Styela clava: one gene and its partner. The protein of the gene in region 2 binds, or shares a complex with, the protein of the main gene of each other region. Links are inferred from orthologs where the notes say so. Each region holds a gene or a part of one and is shown on either strand. Other genes may lie near its edges.

Region 1 (3,760 bases), on a different chromosome or scaffold from region 2:
CCCTTGTACCAAAAATTTTTAAAGAAAATATACTGATGGCCAAATACATATAGATGCCACAGTAGACAGTACGTTGGTAAATTCAGTGACAAATCAATTTATCTATTTGCATATCAATGTGAGAAATATTTCCTTTTACATGCTCTATTTTTATTAATATTTCCCCTTGCTATGAATCCCAAATACTCACCCTTGTGAGTTTTACTTCATTTTCTATTGCATTGTGAAGTCTTACAATACAGACATATTCTTTACCTGGTAAAAAAACACAGAAAATATTTCTGTCAATCAAGTAAAACACTGGCGTGGCCTTCTTTTTGATTAATCATTTTAAAACCGACATCAGTAAAAAATTAGAGTGAATACATTGAAACATCACTGAATATCAGACACGAGTTGTGTCATCATATGCCGGTTAAAGAAAGAAGTTGTATAAATCGCTTTATTTTCACCACAAACAACCCTTTTTATCATTTTTTATACGTTTTTTAAATTCACTCTACAAGCAAAGCTCTGAACGAGCAGTAACATCTGGGTAAAGCTCTATTATTTCTTGAAGCTCCAGAGTTTTGCCTGATTCGCATTGCCTATCAAACTTATAAAAAATGACAATTTGTTAAAATGTGTCTGGCAAAAAAACTAACCTGCAGACTGTTGAGATTTAACAAGCCTTGTCGCTCTTTCTATACAAACAATTAGACAACCGGTTACTTTTGGATCCAACGTTCCACTGTGTCCTGTTTTCTCTACTCTTAATATTCTTCGTATCCAAGCCACAACCTCATGTGAAGATGGATTGGCTGGTTTGTCAAGATTTATAAAACCGGTTCTGCAAAGAATTTTATTGTTGAAAGGTATTCTATTATACACAGCATCAACTGTGTGCCGGTGATGAAATTCGTTTTTTTGACCAATTTCAGAAAATTAATTAAAATATAAGCAGTAGAATCAAGCTCCCAATACTTTTTCATGGGTGCTCCCGAAGTATGCGAACCAAGATGGCGGACATCGGAACGTAACATGGGTAACAGGTTAGGGTTAGGCGATAATTTTTTTCCAATTTTCCTTATTCTAGTCCTATTATCAGTTCGAAGACTAGCCAAGAGCCTCCCGTAGTATTTATACCTAACATTATGGCCTAACCCTAACCTAGTACACATATTACATTCCGATGTCCGCCATCTTGGTTCGCATACTTCAGGAGCCCCTTTTCATGTATAAAAAGTTTACAAAACCTAGGTTTCATACATTTTTCAAATATGTTCCTGACATAAAATTTATCTTAGGAAGACGTAACAATTAGGGGTCGCAATATTGGTAAAGATAAATGATAAGAATAAGTAAATAAACAAGTTTCAGAAAGACTGACATCAGGAAAAAATTAGAGTGATTATTGACTCATCAATAATAATCAGTCATCAATATTTTATCATCATTTGTCAGAATTTTGTTTTAGGAAATCAGAAATATGATTTATATTCACATTCAACTTATGATAAAGGCAAACACTACCTAAGTTTATTAATCCACTGTATTAGCAAATTAGGTTCTATGCAATACTGCAAATGCAAACAAAAAATATTTCAAATAAATGCTGACAGTAATAGAGAGTGTATAAGAATTCAGACCTAACATATTCTTGAATATCTCTTTTCAATGGTGAGCAACCAGAAGGCAGAGGTGTGTAATGATTTGTTCGCACATTCAATTTATCATAATTTTTCAAAAGCAGTGGCCACTGGGATGTGTCTAATTTAGGTGGAGGTTTCTCTTCTGATTTGACAAAAAAATCACCACTCTGTTGCAATTCCTGAAATATAATGAACTTAGTTATTTCCACCAAAATATTTGACTTTTCGCTGATCATGAATATATTCAACATATAATATGACTGAAAAAAAGGTAGCTATAATTTTAGAATTCATTAAATACAACATGAAAAATGCCTTCAAGAAAATAGATTAAATTTACTATATTTTATCATGCATCGATTCAGTTTGTCATAATGCAAAATGAACTAGTAAAATTAGGTAAAATTTTCTGTTAATAGGCTTCAAAAAAGTTGCATGGTGCGGTGCACCAGGTGCTGGATGTTGCTGATTCAGTCTGGTTTTATTGGAACCGGTGTCAGGTTGAAATATTAAAATAAGATTCATAGCAACAAATCAAGTTCATACTCCAATTGAGTGCTTCATCTTTTTCTTTTTCTTTGTGGAACCTAAAATTGATAATTGCAAATGAGAATAACAGGTAGGATGAAAAAAACAAAAATCTGAAAATGGCTATTCATAGATTCAACAACTCTTCATTTAAGGTCATAAGCCCAATAACAATAGCAGGTTCATTCATTACTCTGTCTGTCTGTTACTGTACTAGCTGCATGCCAAACAAATTTTGTATAAATTCCAGAATTCAGGGGCTGCAATATTTCTGATTCCTGTGATTCAATACCGCAATAGACTATTGGGATTCAAATCCGTCCCCAATCCGCCAATAACATAATAAAATTTGTGAGTTATGGTAATTTATTATATTACATTCATGCCCAATCAGCCAATGCTGGAAAGCTTTAAGACTAGTCTATGAAACAGAGAAATACGAATTGAGTTTGGATAAACTGTGTGTGGTTTGACAAACCAGCATACAGACATTAGATACAGGCATACAGTTGGTTTCAATATCTCAGGGCAGTTAATCTCACTCAATAAAAAAAGTAAAAGCTAGTAAATGATAGACATGTAATTATTATATATGAACTTACCATTCTGCGAGACATCTGTTGAAGACATGACTAAATCTACGAAAACAGTCAGACGTCGATCGCCGCAATGAAATATTTTCCACGTGCAAAATTGTCGTGTGCACATGTTTTACACCAAGGCGCATGCGCCGTGTCACGCGTGGTCGACCTCGGCGGCAAGTCTCGAGGTTTTTGAGCAGGTTTTGAGTAAAGAAATAATCAGCAATCAGCAATTTATTTTTTCACCATGCTGAATATGCACACTCACAAATTATATATAAAAAATAGCATTCCAGGGTGAGGGGGGAACGGGAAACCAAAATATGGTTATCCAGCAGGGGTACCCAAAAAAGTCCAACAGAACATGAGTAAAACGTCGAACAATATATGAAATACAATAAAAAACACTAAGCACGCCTAGGCGACCTGGTATATCCCGCAGTCGTGTGTTTCCACCAACGACTAACTATATAAAAACGAATCCTAGCACCATATTTTACAGACCATAAGGCCGTATTCAGTTAACTATGATAAGGCGCGCGTAAATAGGTCGCATCGCGCTGCAAGACACACCGGCTATTGAAGCTATACCGGTTTTGGGTGTAAGCCTGGGGAATAAAGCACTTGACTACCTGATACATATATTGGGCGCACGATCGATTTTTGAGATAAAAATGAGATATAAAGTGCATATTAATATAAAATACAGTATAAATTTGGGAGAAGATGGAAAGGGCCCACAGGCCACAGCCCCCGATCAACATTAGTTTCCCGCGCTGTTTGCTAGACTCATGACATCCAGTCAAAAAGGTATGAAAAAAATTAATCATATTAACAGCAAGCGCAACTCTAATAATATTCACAAGTTTTCAGAGATTCTCGCTTGAATAGTGCGATCTATCATATATTGTTTAATTTATCAGCCATCAGCTTTGTTTTCGAATTTTTTAGATTGCTTCATAGTCACCTAGTCTATCCCTAAACATTGTTTGGACTGTCTCATACTCATCAACTCTGCAT
Region 2 (3,760 bases):
TAATTATTGTTAAAATCTTTGATATATTTTCACTACAATAAATTACAGATTCGTTACATTACACACATATAAATTTCCGAAAATTGTGATGTCGCTGATTTGAAAATAACTAACATACACCGGTATCGGTACATTACTATACTCACCTGAGAATTTCAAAATAACAAAATAGTATAGTCATCAAAGGTAAGACTACGGCTGCCAGAATGAGGGCAATCGAATATGATAATGAAGCCATGTCATGCCAAGCACAAATCAACGATTTTGCATCATATCTAGAAGTAAATGTTAGTGTGTAGGTATATATATGTCAGAAAAGGGCATGATCTTTTATATTTTAGACAATAGTAAGTCTAAGTTCCCTATGGTAAGGGTGACCAGAAAGCAAAAGCAACTTCAAAATGTATAAATATGCAACCTGATGCATTTATTTCTAGCTTTCTCAAATGTGTATTCTTAAAATAGCGCAGAGGACACTAAGAGAAATTAAATATTGGAGAAAAATTCCTGATTAAAATTCGTTTGTGTAAATGTGACTCAATGCGAGAATTTGGTCAAACCGTAAATAATTGAAATCTTTGATACATTTTTTCGGGTTCATTATAAAATGTACTTACGTGATTTCTCCCCATCCAGCCAATGTTGGCATTGTGATTAGGCATGACCAAATCCATGACATTATTGCCATAAAGATTCCGACATTTTTAGTGAAGTATTTTCGATAAGAAACTAGTTTTACTATCGCCCAGTATCTGAACAAATAATACATATGTTTAGATTGTTTACTAGTATTGATTTCATGGTGCGAAGAAACGACCCTAAATAAAAGTTTAAATGTTTATTTCTGCATCTAAGATTAACTATTTGAATAAAACTACTTTAGTATTTAAACGACTCTAATTATGTACTTTAAATAAGTCTATCAATCATACCATTTGGGAAATATGAAGCCTCGATTGGACTTAATTGAACTATGGTTAAAGGCCGAATGCCTGATTTTTTGGAAACTTGAAATATACACCAAAACCTTCTAGTGGGAAGGAAGAGACAAAAGAATGTTTGGTATGTCTATGAGGTGAGAACAACCTTATCGTCTGTTTTTGCTTTGTTAGACGATTACTCAAATAACTTTTTTTCTTACAAAAAAAATTAAAAACCATACCTATTGAATGCAATCAGAGCCATATTAGCCAAAGAAGAAACACAAGTAATGGTGACTATGAATCCAATTATCTGACAAAATATTCCATCAACGATTCTTTCGCTTCTTATTATTGATGCTGCTATGCAAGGTAAGGTCACGGAACACACCTACCAGTAGAAGTCAATGTGAATGAAGCGTAAGATTTGCTCTGAAAGCAAATACTGTAAGATTCGTTGGCGCGATATAAATATATATATCGATATTTTCGCATATTAATCTAAATTCTAGTCTAGGAATAAAATTCACAAAGGCCAGTTCGTGTTTTTCAACAAACTGACTCTTCTACAAATACCGTTATTCATATGAATTTATTCTTGCCCTGAATGTAGTTAATTTTTTGTACTCTTTATTAGTGGTATATCAACCAATAACAAAGAAAATTGCAAGAACATTTTATATTCTTTGTAAGACTCAAGTTAGGATTATCTCACCAATACATCAGCCACTGCCAAATTAATGATAAAGATATTCCCAGATGAATGCACTTTCTTCTCTAGCACGATTGAAAATATAACGATCAAATTACCGATTGTTCCGAGAAGTATTATTGACATGATGTAAATAAACTCGAAGTACTGTGAAACGAAAAAAAAATTCTGAATATTACAAAAATTAATGAAAATAGAAATATTTTGCGCTTTGCATTGGTTTTAATATTTAAAATACTTGCCTGCAAAGTTCCAAAATTTGGCCAGTAATTCGTGTCGTGATGTTGTGGGGAAACTGTAGAATTTTCATCTTCCATCTCGAATATTATTTAAGCTCTTGATGCGTCAATTTTCAGCTATGATAAAAACTAGTTCATCCGCGATCCTTTCTCTGCCAGCATGTACTTTTTACAAATACAAATAAAATACCACCACATGTTCAGGCGGATCAGCTAAAGCTGACTGCCCGAATGTGCCATATATCAACTCGCAAATTCCGACAAATAATAATTGATGGTAAACCACTCTAACGGTTCGAGGAAATGATGAATTGTTTGATCTTAGTAAATACCACACGTTAATGGTCAGGCTGTGAAACAACTGTAAAATAGACAAAAAAATGTGTAGAATAGAACGTAAAATTAACACTCTTCTGTTGCCATTTTGATTGAATTGTATTATAGCAAACAAATATACTAAAGGTGTATTGTGCTCGTTTACAACTGGTTGTGCGTTCTAGTGTAATTAGATTAGAGTATGTGATATAATCGTATATCTATTTCTTTTTATTAATGCTAAACCCAATTGAACTAGCAGGATGAACTTCTTTACAGTGCACGTAAGAAAAGATGAAATGTAGGCAATACTTATACGGTCAATAAGCATACAAGGTATATAATAATCATATACCAGTTAACAGAAAAATGTCTTATTCGTCATGATAACCTATTAAAAATCTATTAAGGTTGAGCGAAAAAGTAGTTATTCACATTTTTTCCCCTTGCTTGAAGGAAATTTTTCGGAAATACTACAAATGTTTCGAATTTGAGACATACTTGAATTTGAGACATACTTTTGAAATTTAACCCCAACTTTCCGTGCTCGATTATAAATCATGCGTAAAAACGGTAAGAACAAAAAAAAAGCACTTTGATATTTAAATGCCAAACTGAATCCGGGTAATAAAACGACGTTGTTTACTAGTATCAAACATTTGGTAAATTCACCAATAATTTCTCTACAATGAAAAGATTTTTCTCAAAGCCATATTTGCAAACGCCAATTAGATCAAGATTTTTATCTGTCCCAAACTCTATATTCGAACATAAAAATTTTAACCAATTATTTTGTTGTATATCGCAAATGTTTATGATATGTCTAACAGTATTTTCCAAGGACACAATATGTTGCCTTCCTGACACGACATCATTAGTTGACGTAGGAAGCGCGTAACTACGAATGTAAATCATGTTTGCTAAGCATAGAACACAATATGGCAAGTATGTTGTTTAGAAATAACATCATAGCATAAAACAAACTTTTGTCCGTTTGAATTAATAATCTGTGTATGATAAATTTCACATAATGATACAGATACCACGACGTTTTCTACATATTTGTCTTGCAATAAAGCAAATTCGAACATGTGAAGTGCTTTAATTCAGTATTCTCTTTTGTTATATACCAGACATAAGGAGAAGCTTCAGCATAACAGTTTTCTCATTCACTCAAACTTCAAACAAACTAAATTCATCATGATTGCAGACAAACATAGCATACTAGTTTCATGCTTAAATGTTACGTCAAATTTTTCTTGCCTAAAACGTCAACGATATTTCACCCAAACCTTGTTTTTTCTCATGAGTACACCTTCATGTAATAACATTCGATGCATTCGGCAAGGAAGTTTGCTGTAGCCATTTGACTTTCATGCTGACAAAATTATACTTGAACAAGCTTTCTTGATCCCATATAAATTTACTACGCGGTAAAATTGTATGCGCGTTTATTGAAATACTCATGCACAATTTGGACACTAGTTTTTAATATACATTTTACTGTAATTCCGTGTTTTGTGGGACAGTTCGTTTCAGTTATGTGCCTTATCTTCACACATAAGCTTCAAAAA

The links. The genes of interacting proteins can lie anywhere in the genome.
Region 1: H/ACA ribonucleoprotein complex subunit 2-like protein (region 2) and H/ACA ribonucleoprotein complex subunit DKC1-like share a complex: the UniProt entries of both Drosophila melanogaster proteins name them as parts of the box H/ACA small nucleolar ribonucleoprotein (H/ACA snoRNP) complex. The link is inferred for Styela clava from reciprocal best matches to the Drosophila melanogaster genes NHP2 and Nop60B.

Annotation. Positions count from the first base shown.
Region 1 is NC_135256.1:12,639,804-12,643,563, forward strand, and holds the start of H/ACA ribonucleoprotein complex subunit DKC1-like, read right to left. Parts: upstream 2,921-3,760; 5' UTR 2,868-2,920; coding exon 2,762-2,867; intron 2,219-2,761; coding exon 2,178-2,218; intron 1,811-2,177; coding exon 1,629-1,810; intron 830-1,628; coding exon 645-829; intron 256-644; coding exon 191-255; intron 1-190. UniProt on the Drosophila melanogaster protein: Catalytic subunit of the box H/ACA small nucleolar ribonucleoprotein (H/ACA snoRNP) complex, which catalyzes pseudouridylation of rRNA. This involves the isomerization of uridine such that the ribose is subsequently attached to C5, instead of the normal N1.
Region 2 is NC_135251.1:15,281,539-15,285,298, forward strand, and holds the start of H/ACA ribonucleoprotein complex subunit 2-like protein, read left to right. Parts: upstream 1-1,040; 5' UTR 1,041-1,055; coding exon 1,056-1,075; intron 1,076-3,760. UniProt on the Drosophila melanogaster protein: Component of the box H/ACA small nucleolar ribonucleoprotein (H/ACA snoRNP) complex, which catalyzes pseudouridylation of rRNA. This involves the isomerization of uridine such that the ribose is subsequently attached to C5, instead of the normal N1.